Bombyx mori: one gene and its partners. The main gene of each other region encodes a partner of the protein of the gene in region 3 in a complex. Links are inferred from orthologs where the notes say so. Each region holds a gene or a part of one and is shown on either strand. Other genes may lie near its edges.

Region 1 (4,215 bases), on a different chromosome or scaffold from region 3:
CATCCTTAAGTTGAATTGAAGAATGAAAATTTTTAAGGTACAAATTCCTGAAACCTTTGCTACAAGTTCACGTGAACTAATTTCAGTGTTACAATATTAATATGATTTCTAGTTCCTAAGTTTCTTCTACCTTCCAAGGTGAATTCTACCATTTCCTTGGACATAATTAGGAATGTACGTAAGGAGTATAAAATTACGCACTTGCCGTAAACTGCAGCTTCTTCAATCTTTCAATTCCCAAAGATACATTTTGTTACAATTTTATTTAAAACTAGCTGACCTGGCAGACTTCGTAGTACCTCAATCGATCAATGAAAGAAAAAAGAAATTCACCCGACCGGGGACACATCAAAGGAAAAACAAAATTGTTATTTTTATTTAATTCCGAGCATTTTCATATTTATCTACCTTTTAAACCTTCTCTGGTCTTCCACAAATAATTCAAGACCAAAATTAGTCAAATCGGTTCAGCCGTTCTCGAGTTTTAGCGAGACTAAGTTAGAACAACAATTCATTTTTATATATATAGATAAATGAATTGCTAAAAAAATGAATATATATATATATATAAAGATTCAGCTGTGGTAGTTTTTTAGAATATCGTATCCTTTATGTTGACCGTGTATTTCTAATAACATAAGAGGCAACGTGCGGAATTCTACGAATGGTTCTATTAAATTTTATATAAAAAATGCAGTAGGTAAGTTTTGTTGTGTATTGTGGTGACCACACACCATCAAGTAGACCGTATGGTTGTCAGCATAAGTATATTGCCAATAAATTCAATGATGATGATGATGATGATGATATGAAAATTTTCCCTCAGTATAGACTTTTCCACTTGGAACTTGAACTTGCTACCTTGAACAATATAGATAAATATACTTGAGACCTTAGAAAGGTGGGTGGCGCATTTACGTTGTAGATGTCTATGGGCTCCAGTAACCACTTAAGACCAAGTGGGTTGTGAGCTCGTCCACCCATCTAAGCAATAAAAAAAATGCTACTAACAATAAAAATCTATTAATATTACCATCTATTTTTTTCCCCTGCCTATTCCCTGGGAGCCAAATAGAGAGACACACAATTGAAATTTAATCAAAGAACCATTTTTCTAACAGAATTTTATAACCTTGTATTTTAAAAGTGTTTGCTCTTCTCTTAAAAAAATAAGATAATGAGGGATATTCCGTGCCTGAACTAGGTAAACATTTCGCGGAAGAGCCGCAGTTGAGGAGCTAAAGAGCAGCATGCGAGCCGCAAGCCGATCGCTGGCCTAAGGGGCTGTTCTAGCTGCCAAGTAATTCATGCTTATGATTGTAATGCTACTACCTACTGTGAACTGTGGCTTCACTTGATTTCTATATTTAATCTACTAAAAATCATTCAATTTAATCAATTCATTCATTCGTTCATTGAATATCTGTAACTTTTAGGTCAGTCAACTTCACTGTAATGAAATTGTCGTACTCTGAAGTTGCATTTTGTTCATCTTTCAATTATTTTATGAAGTTTTTTTGTGTGGATTGTCAAATTAAAGCACAGCGGTGTGGTTTTTATTTCTCTTTAACATTTTTAAGTATATTGTAATAATTTTATTAAAAAGTAACCGTTGAAGAAATAATTAAAAATGTCTATGCAACCGCACAGTAAGAAAAGAGTGTGTTACTATTATGACAGTAAGTAAAATAAAGTTTTACCCGCCACGGATCTCCATTACATCGCTAGTAACTTAAGAATTAGTTTTTGTATTATAAATAATTAATATGCGTAGTATTCATATTTTAAATACAAATTTCCACACGGCCTAGCTCTTTTAAGAACTTCAGAGATTTTAAAGCTTGTCTTAGGATTTTTATGACATTGTTAACTCAGTTCATTGTTTCATTTTACGACGTCTGTACAGCGTTCCGCGTTCCTATTGGGTACACGGACTTGCTCGTATTACGATGTACGAGGTACAGACGGCTAAATATGAAGCCGTAAAATGATTTAAGTAACATGTTAATAAAAAGTTGAAAATAATGCGTGTTATTTTTATTAAAGGCGATATTGGAAACTACTATTACGGACAAGGGCATCCAATGAAACCTCACCGCATACGTATGACCCACAATTTACTCCTCAACTATGGACTCTATCGAAAAATGGAGATTTATGTGAGTACTGAAATTACCTTTTAAGTGTAAGTTCTTCAATGATTTGAGATTTTATAATTATATATTTTTAAACAGAGGCCTCACAAAGCCACAGCTGATGAAATGACAAAATTCCATTCAGATGATTACATTAGATTCCTGCGTTCTATTCGACCTGACAATGTTTCTGAGTACAACAAACAAATGCAGAGATGTAAGTTATTACTAATTATTATCAATATTATTTAAAAAAAGTATTAATTATTCATAAATGCTTTAATGAAAATGTATTACCCTTGAAGACTTACCTGTTAAAGCTAATATAACAGTAGAGTTACTTATTTAGTGTGTTATTTTATATTAAACTATATTTTTTCAGTGTATAATATTATAATAGATTTGTCCCACAGTTTCAACTATGTTCAGCTTACAATAATGTGAATCTACTACAGTGGAATCTTACTATATTCATAATTTGTATAAAAAGATGATGAAAATAATAGATTGAATACAGCATATTTTGTGTAAAATTGTGGAAAATTCCTTTGATTCACTGCTATGACACTGAAAAAAATTCCTAAATTCAAATCTTTGACTATACCACAGCATCTAGTTGTGTCAGTCAATTGTCACACTGCTTGATAAGTATAGATATAACATACCAAAATTATAAAGAAAAAAAACTACTTTCCTGTATGAGCACTCTCCTTGTCTGCAGCCTGTTTAGTTGAAACCAATGTATCTGCTGTTTATTGCAGGAAGAAAACCTTTATAATGTACATATTTATTTAAAGAGTATGGTGAAAATGGTGTACAATCCTATTGGTTTTTTGTTAAAGTTCCTATAGTTCAAAGCATCAACCAAATTATTTTTGACCTATCCCTCAATCTACTGATGGGTAATATCCTATAAACTACATACCTTTATTAGTGCCTGATCACATTCAGGGATGATATGGAAAATATTCAACTTATTGAATGTGACTAATTTTAATATACATTTTGCAGTTAATGTAGGTGAAGATTGTCCTGTTTTTGATGGCCTGTATGAATTTTGTCAGTTGTCTGCTGGGGGTTCAGTTGCAGCAGCTGTAAAACTGAATAAGCAGGTAATTAGTCTTATTTTTTTATTTATTTTATTTTGTTAAAACAAGTTTTTCAGTTTAATTAGTGGCGATGAAAACTGTAATTTATTTAAAAAATCAGAAATAATATAACAGCAATTGTATACATGACATTAAACAATAAAAGTAGTTTTAATTACATCCTCTACTTACATATGCCAATGAGAAAGTATTATTTTCATTTGTTAAAATTATTATAATTTTACCTTTTTAGTGTTTTAACTTTAAAATGGTTAAAGACAGATGAGCCCCAACCTGATATTAACTGATACTGTGTCAGAGATGAATAGAACACTTAAATTGTGTTTATATTGATTTTAAAACAATAAAACAATAGATTTTTCTTATCTTGTGAGATTTCTAATTTGATTCTGCAAGTTTTCTTAATTTTATAATTATATAGTTATATAGGTTTCATTTATAGTTATTTATAACTATAAAATTAAAACATGTTTGTACTGATTTTATTATTGTTATAATTTTTTTTTTCCTTACACTATAAGTTAGATTAGTTTTCGTTATCGTGTTGTTTTGTCGTAATTGTAAGGAACGTTGATATACAAATTCAGCACTTTATAGTTTTGTCGTGCGCACATAACTTATGTTGCAAGCCAGATTTTGTTTTTTTTTTATTTGTGTTTTTTATGTATCTTTAGCTTGTGATGTGTATTGTGAGCCTAATAAAAAATAAAAAAAATAAATTGTTTTAGGCCTCAGAAATATGCATAAACTGGGGTGGTGGCCTCCATCATGCAAAGAAGTCTGAAGCGTCAGGTTTCTGTTATGTTAATGACATTGTTCTTGGCATATTGGAGTTGCTGAAATACCATCAAAGAGTACTATATATTGACATAGATGTGCATCATGGTGATGGTGTTGAAGAAGCTTTCTACACCACGGACAGAGTAATGACCGTTTCCTTTCATAAATATGGAGAATATTTTCCTGGAACA
Region 2 (4,258 bases), on a different chromosome or scaffold from region 3:
CATGGGAAATTTCAGTCTAAAAAAATTTAATTTTAACTGTTGATTTATTTATATTTAAAAAGAAAAGTATCTCTGTTTGATCAAATCGACATGTACTAATGTTTCTCAACCTCTAAAGTTCTTATAGTCTCATATTTATTACCTGCATTGGGCATTCAACCTAAGGGGCTAACGGTATCTCAATCTATTACAATAACAGTTTGAGCTATGGTTCGATAGCTGTTGGTTTTAGGAAAAACGAGTATGTGAGTTTGAGATAGTGTTTTTTAAGAAGTATCGAGTTGATGATGTTTATTTAATAATACATCCCCGCAGACTATTGAGATTCAACCTATAATCATATTTGTAGACATTAAATAGTCATGGCGCCGCAATTCCAAGGAGTATCCCTGCAATCTTCCGAGAGTATCGGGATACTTGGGGTCAACATTTCGAGCGATGTCCAGTTTCGGAGTCATTTGGAAGGCAAAGCCAAGTTGGCGTCCAAAATGCTGGGAGTCTTCAATAGAGCGAAGCGGTACTTCATGCCTGAACAAAGGCTTTTGCTTTATAAAGCACAAGTCCGGCCTCGCGTGAAGTACTGCTCCCATCTCTGGGCCGGGGCTCCAAAATACCAGCTTCTGCCATTTGACTCCATACAGAGGATGGCCGTTCGGATTGTCGATAATCCCATTCTCACGGATCGTTTGGAACCTCTGGGTCTACGGAGGGACTTCGGTTCCCTCTGTATTTTGTACCGTATATTCCATGAGGAGTGCTCTGAGGAATTGTTCGAGATGATACTATCTGGAGCCACTGCGGTCATCCACAGTGCGTTTCCAGAGGTCTTTTTTGCTACGCACTATCCGGCTATGGAATGAGCTTCCCTCCACGATGTTTCCCCGTGCGCTATGACATGTACGTCTTCAAACGAGGCTTGTGGAGAGTATTAAGCGGTAGGCAGCGGCTTGGCTCTGCCCCTGGCATTGCTGAAGTCCATCCACTCACCATCAGGTGGGCCGTATGCTCGTCTGCCAACAAGGGCCGGAAAAAAATTATTGTAATCTCATAAATGCTTTTTTATGGTAGCTTAGTTTTTATATATACACAAGGTTCTACAATAAATACTGGAAGAACGAGTAGTGATATTGTTTCATAATCGTAAAAATATCAGAAATGATACTATACCACTAAAAAAAAAGTAAGTGACCATAACATTGTAGAAAAATAACGTAACAACGTGAAGAAACTGAATCCGAACAGACTATTATGAACAAGAAAGACATGGGGCCATGCATGAAGTTTAATAATTAAATTAACCTCATGCATGGCGCACTTCGGAAAACATTTTTAAATTCTTGCGATGGCAAGGACATTAAATGCGTACATCTACACCTAAAAACAAAATGGCGATTGAGAATTGGCGCCTTTTTGTTTTTTTTTCACATCTAGCAACTATTGAATAGTACCACGTGAACTACCTCATCCAATCAGCTGGTAAATCCAAAAATCCCGCCTCTTGCATCGTTTCCTTCTCGTCCCGCGCTGCGTTGGTGATGGTGCTTGGATTCGCGCATTTAATATACTTTAATTAAATGTTAAAAGTTTATCAATGTTACATATATTAATAGAAACTTTAAACTGTAAAAGGTTCATTTATCGGTTCAAAAATTGGCTATAGTTTTGGTTCTAACCCATATTTTTGTCGCCATTTTGACCTGTGATTTTGGTCATACGAATTGAGTAGGTATTATTTAATTTGTTTCGTCATCAACAATTGTCCTACGTTGTTCTTATGAAACATAAATGGACGTCCAAATTCAAGGAGTGTGGAGAAAATGTCCCAAACTAATAGTACAATAAATTACCTTATCCATGATGCTAACGGTTAGTAGAGGTGCTACTTTAGTTTACGTGACACTTGTTTTTCCTATCGGATTTAAGACTTTGTATTGCAAACAAAGCCTAGATCAATTGGACCAAACTCAAGACTAGTAGCTTAGCTTTAGTTATTATCTTCGACGCCTTTTATTCTGCCGAAATAAACATCATCACAGCGTTTGTTTATTACGGAGATATTTTTTGTTTCAATCAGCTGATGGCACCGACGCTTCAGTAAGTCTTTAATTTAGATTATAAATACATAAAGACTCGATGATATGTCCTGCAGGACTTCCTCAAGTGGTGAAAGTGCTGGAAACTACAAGTAAACCACTGATTGCTCAAATCGAAGCAGAACCGAAAGAGAGTCCAGTTAAAATTGTTACTGTATCACCTGTTCCGGTCAAATGTGCAAAGGTATGATTATTCGCAATTTTTTTATATATGAAACCACTATATGTTTTACATATATTATTATAAACATTATTTATTTACGCTTCATTAGACTAAACTTTTAGTTAGAGTAGTAATGTATATGTTGAATAAACTTTTAATAAACAGAACGAACGAAATGACATGAAATATAATAATAATTACTTTCCTTTGTCACTGTGGTTAACCTAAGCTTTTGGGGTTCTAATATAATTTAGATTTAGTTGGGTGAACTGAGCCTACCTATGCCCTTATGCCCTACTGTAATTTGATTTGAATTTGAAAAATATTCTACAACTAATGAGGACTCCCTAGTTCTTGTATTTTTTTATTACTAGATAGGTGGATGAGCTCATGATCCACCTGGTCTAAAATGGTTACTGGAGCTTATGGACATCTACAATGTAATTGCCTCCATCCACCACGAGACTAGTTCTAAAGTCTCAGTACTTACATCTTACATAGGTCAATAGGTACCAAACCAGAATTAGCAATTTGATTATCATTTACCATTCAGTTTTATATGAGTATACTCTTTAACAGATACCTGTTCCAGCCAGTTTTGCAAGATTTGGAATTGTTCAATACAAACAAAGTAAGTTTTCAGCATGACAGGGTTTGTTGACAGAAAGTAGAAAGTAACCAAGAATCCTATTTAATATATAACTGTATATTTTATTGCTTAGATGGCTGGATGAGCTCATGGCTCACCCGGTGTTAAGTGGTTACCGGAGACATCAACAGTCAATGCCGCCGTCAACCTTGAGACACAAGTTCTAAAATGTCAGTTTTTACAGTATAATAACATATACTCCACCCTTCAAAGTGAAATGCATCTGCTTCACAGCAGAAATAGGCATGGTGTAATAGCAAATAATTTAGCTTCTTGCATACATTTGAGACTTCAACCTCATTTCTCAATGTAATCATACATGTAATTTAGTGCTTTGCGAATTGTTAGGTACATCTACATCCAAAAAAATTTAATAAAAATAAAGTGAGCAAGTAGTAATGAATGTCAAATATATACAAATTTAGGAAGTATTTTGTTACTAAAATTTTGCACACTATATTAATCTTAGTTCTGGGTGTTTTAGTATCACTGTTTACAAGTATCAATACTTCTGCTATGGAACATAATCTAATTTTTAATACATACATACACTATAAAAAGAACATCTTGATTGACTATCCAATATTAAAATAATCCACATGATGGTGGTAATTAATGTTAGATAAGCTGATTTATGAACAAACTTATATAATTTGAATTAGTCCATCAATTCACTTCATTATACATTTCAAAATTATGGTGAGAAATTATGCCTACAATATAAACATACATATAAATCAATAAGTATCACCCCTCTTAGAGATCTGAAGTTGTAATATCAATTGTTTTATATAAGGGCTGTCCGGCCCATCAAACCAGAACTCTCGACTGCTTTGTGGCAGAAATAGCCAAAATAGTGATATCTATTTACTCAAGTGGTCTTAAGATACTTCCCACTAACAGATATTACACAATGTCTTAAGACACAATAAGATCCAAATGATTAATGGAGGTTTTGAACCTTGTCATAGCCACATCACTTGATATAAATTCATCAGGTGTCTTACGATTCCGATTTCGCAGTGGAGATTTTCCTGTTGAGTCTGTAATTATTGTCACCACTGTCTAACCTTGTTCTTAAAGGCTGTTTTGCAATAGTCAAAGATCACGTTTACTAGTCTCTATACAGTAAAAGTTTATTATTCGCGGGGTTGAAGCATAATAAAAATATGCCGCGAATACAGTAACCGTGAATAGGGAAGGGTAATTTGCGTATATGGAGGTTATAGGGGACTCTTCGCCTCGAACTCGACTGAACGACGGGGGTGCCACACCACCGAACATCCCCCGGTGTGATAGTTCCCTGCCGGAGATCTACTTTGCACAGTGTGCAGTCAGGTGGGAACTCCGACT
Region 3 (2,957 bases):
ATATTATAATGTTGGAGTGATCGTCTGGGTTTCTTATAATAAAGATGCAGATTTTCATGGATAGTTTTTATTTTAACGGAGATACACTTTTTGTGTCAGTACTCATTGACGGCGCTAGAAGAAAAAGGGGCGAGCACACGAATGACGTTGACACATATTAGACGAGTGACAGCTGTCAGTTGGTATTAACATAAAGATGCGTTTAGAAATTATACAATTCTAACATATAATGACGACCTCATTTATGTGGTGTGTATGCAGGCGAAGATAGCGTGTACGGCGATGTGTAAGTGCGTGGGGTGTCGCAACGTGCAGGAGTTGGTGGAGCGGCGCCGCGACATGCGCCTCCGCACGCAGGACAGCGACTCGACCTTCCGCCCGGCCCTGCTGGGGCAGCCCAAGTCAGTATTCAATAGGCGAGGCACGCTAGCAACCATTTCAAGGAATATTTAACACCCTACTAATGTTTGAAGTGAAACTTCTAAAGTGACTTCCAACAAGGTTGCGTTAAACGTTTAACGCTACCATGAAATAGAAAGAGATAGAGCGAGAGTGAATGCGTGGCACTCGAACGCACGCGCGTAATATAACCTGTTACAGGCCAGCGCGAGCGTTAGCAACGAGTAGAGTCCAATATTTTAAAGAAGTAATAAATAAATAAAAACCGATAATTTTAAATATAATATAAATGTTGAAGATGTGGCATTTCTTATACACATCATTCCCTATTACAAGAGCAATCTGATTTAAGGATGAAAAATGAAGAAAACCACAATACTACACATCGAAAAAGAAGTTTCACTTCATTCACGTGCACCAAGTTTTTTTTTGCGTGTACTTCACACCAGTGACAGTCACAATGGAGCTTTGCCTGCTTTGCTTTTATCAGTAGAGTTCTGGTAAACATTCGTTTTGTATTCACAAGATAACAACTTACCCTTAACATTTGTTTCCTTGTCGCGATTGTTAGTGTTGAAACTAATGTGGCTTGCAGACATCCGTGCACGTTCATGACGATGGAGGTGATCGAGGCCGTGTGCCAGTGTCTGGTGGCCGCCGCCGTGGAGCGACGGGACGACTCTCCGCGTGACGCGCCCCGTGACTCGCCGCGTGACGCGCCCCGTGACGCGCTCGGAGACGTGCTTGAAGAGTTCGCGCGCTGTCTGCACGAGATCATCGGGGCTTCGCATCACGACTCCTTGCTGCTCGATGTGGTGAGTGCCACGTGACGCGGTCGTGACCGGAACATATACACTGTATAACTGGCAGAGGCGGATTATCCGTAAGGCAAATTAGGCACGTGCCTAGGGGCGTGTAGTTACAAGGGGAGCGCAAGCTCAGAATTTTTTAATAAATAAAGAAAATAACATCGCACAAGCATCGATATACTCGTATTTATACAATATTGCAGGTTTGTTTGTATTTCATTCGCGCATTAGCGTAAGTACAAGGGTCCTGGTCTACTAAAGTCTAGGGTTTGATGATACAACGTCATCGTAATTGCAAAAACAACTAGTTAAAACTTATAGTATTATAATAGCCATTTATGGCCGGTACAGTGGCGCCGATAAAGTGATTGCCTAGGGCGCTCTGGACTTTTAATCAGCCACTGATAACTGGTAGCTCCAGTAAATTAAGAAATTTCTTTGAGGTTTGTGAGCCGTTGAAACGATAGCTCACAATTATTATTATTATGTGTTACTAATCATTACAATAATTCTTCACTTAAAAAAAATTCCAGTCTACAAAAGTTATCCCTTTAGATATAGGGAGAAAGGAATCCTTCCTTAAACCGATATTAAAATAATAGATTACATAAACAAAACATATTATTTTAATACATATCGATTTTATCACAGGGACAAACGTGACAGATTTGAAATTTGCCAGCGCTGAAGATGAAAACATCTCTAAAACTCCGCAAAACCTTAGGTTAACTTTACTCAAATAACGTACTGTCATCCTACGGCTAATATCTTTTATTCAACCAGCCATTCTATTTATAAGAAAAATCAATTTGCTTGCTAAAATTTAGTTAACCAGTTAGATATTACGTACCAAATATACGTCTTGACATTTTTAAAGAAATTAAATGTAAATATTTTAATCTGACGAATACAGTAGTTTAATTTGGAATAAATAGAACCTTTTTACATGTAAACATTATATGAATAACATAAATGCAATATTAAATATAAAGTTTAGGTGTAGTGTAATTGCTTCCAAAAGACTGTTATAAATAAATACTTGACAAGTTTCGTAAACGTAGTTAATTGTGAATATTTGTATCTACTTTTTGAAAATGGATTCTTTTATAAATCAATTTAAGAGATTTTTATTGTTGTTTTTAAATGTAAATAATGTTGCTGTAAATAATATGTTTTACTAGTCTTAAGGATACCTTAGGAGGAAGGTAATTATAGTGTATAGTGGCGATAAATGGATTTTTACAGAAAATTTATTTTGTTTTATTTCATTTTTAGTTTGTAACAATGGTAACTTTACAATGATCCAGTTACTTAGATTTAGCGGGCGAAATATTTGGGTTAAAAATAGCACCGCTATAAATAAGGCGGACGGTAACTACACGTGGAACGTAACACTGCGTTCGCACGTTCTGAGTTATTGTAGGTCATTTCACCTAACGTTCATAATAAAGCGCTTTGTGGTGTCAAACAGTTCAATATGACCAACAAATATGAAGTTCGGCATTCAGAGCAACTGGGCAGGTCAGTTGCATTCAAATATTTTTGGTATTCAAGTGATGTTTTTTTTTTTAATCTCCAATATATTGTGTCAATTTTGATCCTTTTAGTGTTGAGTTTATTGTCACATCCTTTGCATAAATTGCTAAAGGATTTTTGAACATTACAAAAAAAAATTATGCTAAATTCACAGCAAAATAATTTTAAATTTATTTATAAATGTCAAGTTATTCAGTGTGCTCAGTTGTGTGC
Region 4 (4,291 bases), on a different chromosome or scaffold from region 3:
GCTCACGGTCATGGTCGACTCAACAGTCTAATTACTTGGAGTAGACTGGTGTAGACGATTTGACCAATTGTGTTTTGTGCCCACCAGTTAAGGTAACGCATCACTGTATGTCGCTGTCAACAGTCCTTAAAGTCGTCGTGGCCTAAAGGATAAGATGTGCGGTGCATTCGTGTTGAGCGATGTATCGGTGTTCGAATCTCAGGCGGGTACCAATTTTTCTAATGAAATACGTACTCAACAAATGTTCACGATTGACTTCCACGGTGAAGGAATAACATCGTGTAATAAAAATCAAACCCGCAAAATTATAATTTGCGTAATTACTGGTGGTAGGACCTTTTGTGAGTCCACGCGGCTAGGTACCACCATCCCGCCTATTTCTGCGGTAATGCGTTTCGGATTGAAGGGGGGGCAGCCGTTGTAACTATTGTGAGACCTTAGAACTTATATCTCAAGGTGGGTGGCGCATTTACGTTGTAGATGTCTATGGGCTCCAGTAACCACTTAACACCAGGTGGGCTGTGAGCTCGTCCACCCATCTAAGCAATAAAAAAAAAACTTCGTTGGTTCACCAGTAAAGAAATACATTCTTAACTTCATATATCTATTAGATCAAAAATTGCATTTAGTAAGGCTTTATTTTTATCATTAGCTTTGTCTTCGTCTAGTTTTAAATAAGAATTGTTTTTACTTTGTAAGAAAATTTTTGAATTTATTCACACAACAATAAAAACTATATCATGCTAACCGAATCAAACGAGAAACTCACTGCTGTACCACGATATCTTTTGTCGGCAACAATCCGTCTACAAACCTGTATTTCATCTGGAATTATAATGAATCGTTTTTAGTTAGTTACAAAAATAGACCACACATCATACTTTTAAAAGCGTAATACACAGCAATAAGACACTCGTGGATGTGTCCACAAAAGTGAATATTCTTAGCTATACACATGAAGGTCCCTTAGTCCTTATCGCGATAGGCAGTGTTTCGGTAAGCTCTTTGTAAAATGATGTCTTCTGAGATAAGAAATGTTGTGTGCGTGCTTTATTCCGTATGATGCTACGTATGAAACTGGGTAGTTAAGGTTTGGTTTTGTATTTATTAGGTTAATATAGCGTGACACAAATTCTAAGTGAGAAAGGGATAACGACTAGTCCTTGAAGCGTATGTGCTAATTATTTATTAGGCCAGTCGCCAATCTGTGGAATTACTTTTATATTACACTTTACGGGTAGGTACCACCACCCCGCCTATTTCTGCCGTGAAGCTGTAATGCGTTTCGGTTTGAAGGGTGAGGCAGCCGTTGTAACAATTCTGAGATCTTAGAACTTATGCCCCAAGGTGGGTGGCGGATTTACGTTGTAGATGTCTATGGGATCCAGTAACCATTAACACCGGGTGGACTGTGAGCTCGTCCACCCATCTAAGCAATAAAAAAAAATATCGTCATTAAAATTTAATGTCACATTTGTCTATAGCTTCTGAATGTTCATTGTCAACAGAAAAAGCGGCTATGACAGCGAGACGAGCGAATATTCAGAGGACTCGACGGCGGCTTACGAGGATGTGCAGACTTCAACCAAAAGCACTGGGTCGAGGAAGAATATCAACAGGGGAAGGTGGAGTAAAGAGGAGGTAATGCTTAGAAATGTTCCAACGCAAAACTCAAATGTCCGTAAACGTCTTGTATCTAATAATAGAATGAAATGGCTTACGTTCTTGAACTTGAAATTCTTGCGTTAATGTTGGGGCTATGACCCAAATATAATTTGGAGGAATGATTTTTCGCGTTTTTGTTGCCCAACAGTCGTGGTGGTACTTCTTGGATACGGCGCGATTCGGTATTAGGCTTGGCTTTGGTTTTACCAAGCGGTTCATCAGTCCCTTGGAATCGATAACGGAACGCTAGGCTCTAGCAAATAGCATCACTTGGTCTGTTCAAATGTGGCCCAGTAAAGGAGATGAGAAGTTACAATAAATCTACAAAGCCTCATGGTTTTTAGAGTTTAAAGACGTCACAGGGTTAAAGCTTTCACATTCAGACACGAGATAAGATCCTCAATTGTAATGAATAACGGTTATCCCGTACTTAAAACTGCATCGAATGACTGCTTCAAATCAATCTATCTATCTATATGTATAAAAATGAATTGCTGTTCGTTAGTCTCGCTAAAACTCGAGAACGGCTGGACCGATTTGGCTAATTTTGGTCCTGAATTATTTGTGGAAGTCCAGAGAAGGTTTTAAAAGGTAGATAAATTTGAAAATGCTCGGAATTAAATAAAAATAACAATTTTGTTTTTCCTTTGATGTCTTCCCCGTCGGACGGATTCCTTTTGTTTGTTGTAAGTTTATTCTATATAAAAGTTTAGATCTTTTATTTATCGATTGAGACACTAAGAAGCTTCCCGGGTCGGCTAGTACCTACCCTTATAAATTACTTACACAATCTTATAAATGCTTGTTCATTTGAAATCATATGTTTATGCAAAACAATAACCTTTGCAGTCTGAAAACGGCTAATTTGAATTCCGAAAAACGAGTTTTACATAATACATCTCTGCACATAGGCTAGTTTGTTGTAATTTTTTTTCAAATGTAATGAGAGTCATTGAAACCAACATTTTCCACGTGCATTATCGCGTATTGAATAACCGGTTATGAAGTACAATGAAGGAACTACCTTACATAATTCCAGTCCAGTAAGAATTCGCAATCGCTGCGGACTAATTTTGTGTCGTAATTTTACAAAGGAATTCATCTCATGGGTTTTCTTTTATTGTTGACGAAAAAGTCTAGTTTCCGAACGTAAGTGGTAACTTCTGTCCAGTCACTGGGGAAATTGAGGGTCATAGATCGTTTGATGAGCTCACGATCCATCCGATGTGAAGGATCGAGCTTATGGGCACCATAGTACAATGTACACCCATGTTAACATGTTCTTCAAACTGGAACACATGATTGGTTTGCGGTAGAAATTGGCATAAGATAGGCGCAACTCAGCATAGTAACTAGGGAGCTCAGGTGTTAAGTCGGTAGTGTGGATTAAACAGACACAGCCCACTGAGTTTCTCGCCTGATCTTCTCAGTGGGTCGCGTTTCCGAACCGGTGCTAGATTCTGCGAAGCACAGTTCTTGTTAGGGTTCGTGTTAGCAACATCGTCAGGTTTGAGCCCCGTGAGCTCACCTACTAGTTAAGGTTGCGCTGAAATGGTCTTTCAAGACCTTCAGCTTAGCTAGGATAAAAAAAAAGTAGTGTCGATACAGACCTGAACTTAAGAATCTTGCTTTCTTTTTCAGGACAAGAAACTAAAAGCATATGTTAGGACTTACAAAGAGAATTGGGAGCGCATAGCGGCCGAGTTTCCTGACCGTTCCGACGTTCAGTGCCTTCAAAGATGGACGAAAGTCGTCAACCCTGAACTAGTCAAAGGCCCTTGGACCAAAGAGGTAAGTGTCAAGTTGTTTTGGCTTTTTTCGAAACTGCTATTAGGTATTATGGTATTGCCCACTGAGTTTCCCGCCGGATCTTCTCAGTGGGTCGCGATTCCGATCCGGTGGTAGATTCTTCGAAGTACTGCTCTTGTTATGCCTAGTGTTAGCAAATTCTCTCAGGTTGAGCCCGTGAGCTAGCTACTAGCGAATAGTTAGGGAACATATTATGGTTATATTAAACAATAATATAATAGTCTAGTCAACAAGTTCAAAAACGTGTTAAATAGACATAAAGCTCCTAAAAATATGTACGATAGCTCATTGGATGCGGAATGATGTCTACAAAAATGTTTTTTAAGGGCTTATTAGCACATAAAAAATTGCGATTGTTATAAACAAAATAAGATTTAAAAAAAAAGGAATTTGGTTTTTCCTTAATTATTTCTAAAATAATGATATTTAAGGAATTTTGAAAAAAAGATCCTGAAAGAGGAGGAAATTTCCAATAAAAAAGTCCCAACTTCCAGAATTCTATCTCTATTATTTATAAAAAAAAATTAACGCTGAAAATAGCGCTCCGCGAGGTCGTTACGCCATAGGCGCGCCGTCTAAAAAGCCGGTATATCACCTAAAATATTTTTTTTATAGTATTAAATAACAATTTAAAAATTTGAATAAATTATGGTGTAATCTAAACACTTGAACGAAAAAAACCTCGGTGAAAAAAAAATTTTATATCGATTTTTCAAAAATTTACACCATTGTTAATTAACTAACTTTTTTCCAATCTCTGTTTTTATAAATTACGGTATAAAAGTTACAATAATTCATCTATAAATTTTTCCCTTCG

The links.
Region 1: protein lin-54 homolog (region 3) and histone deacetylase HDAC1 share a complex: the UniProt entries of both Drosophila melanogaster proteins name them as parts of the DREAM complex. The link is inferred for Bombyx mori from reciprocal best matches to the Drosophila melanogaster genes mip120 and HDAC1.
Region 2: protein lin-54 homolog (region 3) and transcription factor Dp-1 share a complex: the UniProt entries of both Drosophila melanogaster proteins name them as parts of the DREAM complex. The link is inferred for Bombyx mori from reciprocal best matches to the Drosophila melanogaster genes mip120 and Dp.
Region 4: protein lin-54 homolog (region 3) and Myb share a complex: the UniProt entries of both Drosophila melanogaster proteins name them as parts of the DREAM complex. The link is inferred for Bombyx mori from reciprocal best matches to the Drosophila melanogaster genes mip120 and Myb.

Annotation. Positions count from the first base shown.
Region 1 is NC_085117.1:13,611,294-13,615,508, reverse strand, and holds the start of histone deacetylase HDAC1, read left to right. Parts: upstream 1-1,415; 5' UTR 1,416-1,630; coding exon 1,631-1,679; intron 1,680-2,046; coding exon 2,047-2,159; intron 2,160-2,234; coding exon 2,235-2,352; intron 2,353-3,146; coding exon 3,147-3,247; intron 3,248-3,972; coding exon 3,973-4,215. UniProt on the Drosophila melanogaster protein: Catalyzes the deacetylation of lysine residues on the N-terminal part of the core histones (H2A, H2B, H3 and H4).
Region 2 is NC_085110.1:8,925,314-8,929,571, forward strand, and holds the start of transcription factor Dp-1, read left to right. Parts: upstream 1-1,458; 5' UTR 1,459-1,817; coding exon 1,818-1,866; intron 1,867-2,149; coding exon 2,150-2,277; intron 2,278-2,835; coding exon 2,836-2,887; intron 2,888-4,258. UniProt on the Drosophila melanogaster protein: Component of the DREAM complex, a multiprotein complex that can both act as a transcription activator or repressor depending on the context. In follicle cells, the complex plays a central role in the site-specific DNA replication at the chorion loci.
Region 3 is NC_085109.1:10,692,804-10,695,760, reverse strand, and holds the end of protein lin-54 homolog, read left to right. Parts: intron 1-261; coding exon 262-401; intron 402-994; coding exon 995-1,214; exon of another isoform or gene 1,215-1,262; intron 1,263-1,859; coding exon 1,860-1,871; 3' UTR 1,872-2,457; downstream 2,458-2,957. Other genes in the region: SET domain-containing protein SmydA-8, read left to right, coding at 2,686-2,729. UniProt on the Drosophila melanogaster protein: Component of the DREAM complex, a multiprotein complex that can both act as a transcription activator or repressor depending on the context. In follicle cells, the complex plays a central role in the site-specific DNA replication at the chorion loci.
Region 4 is NC_085134.1:9,635,498-9,639,788, reverse strand, and holds the start of Myb (Myb transcription factor), read left to right. Parts: upstream 1-1,491; coding exon 1,492-1,641; intron 1,642-3,306; coding exon 3,307-3,456; intron 3,457-4,291. UniProt on the Drosophila melanogaster protein: DNA-binding protein that specifically recognizes the sequence 5'-YAAC[GT]G-3'. Component of the DREAM complex, a multiprotein complex that can both act as a transcription activator or repressor depending on the context.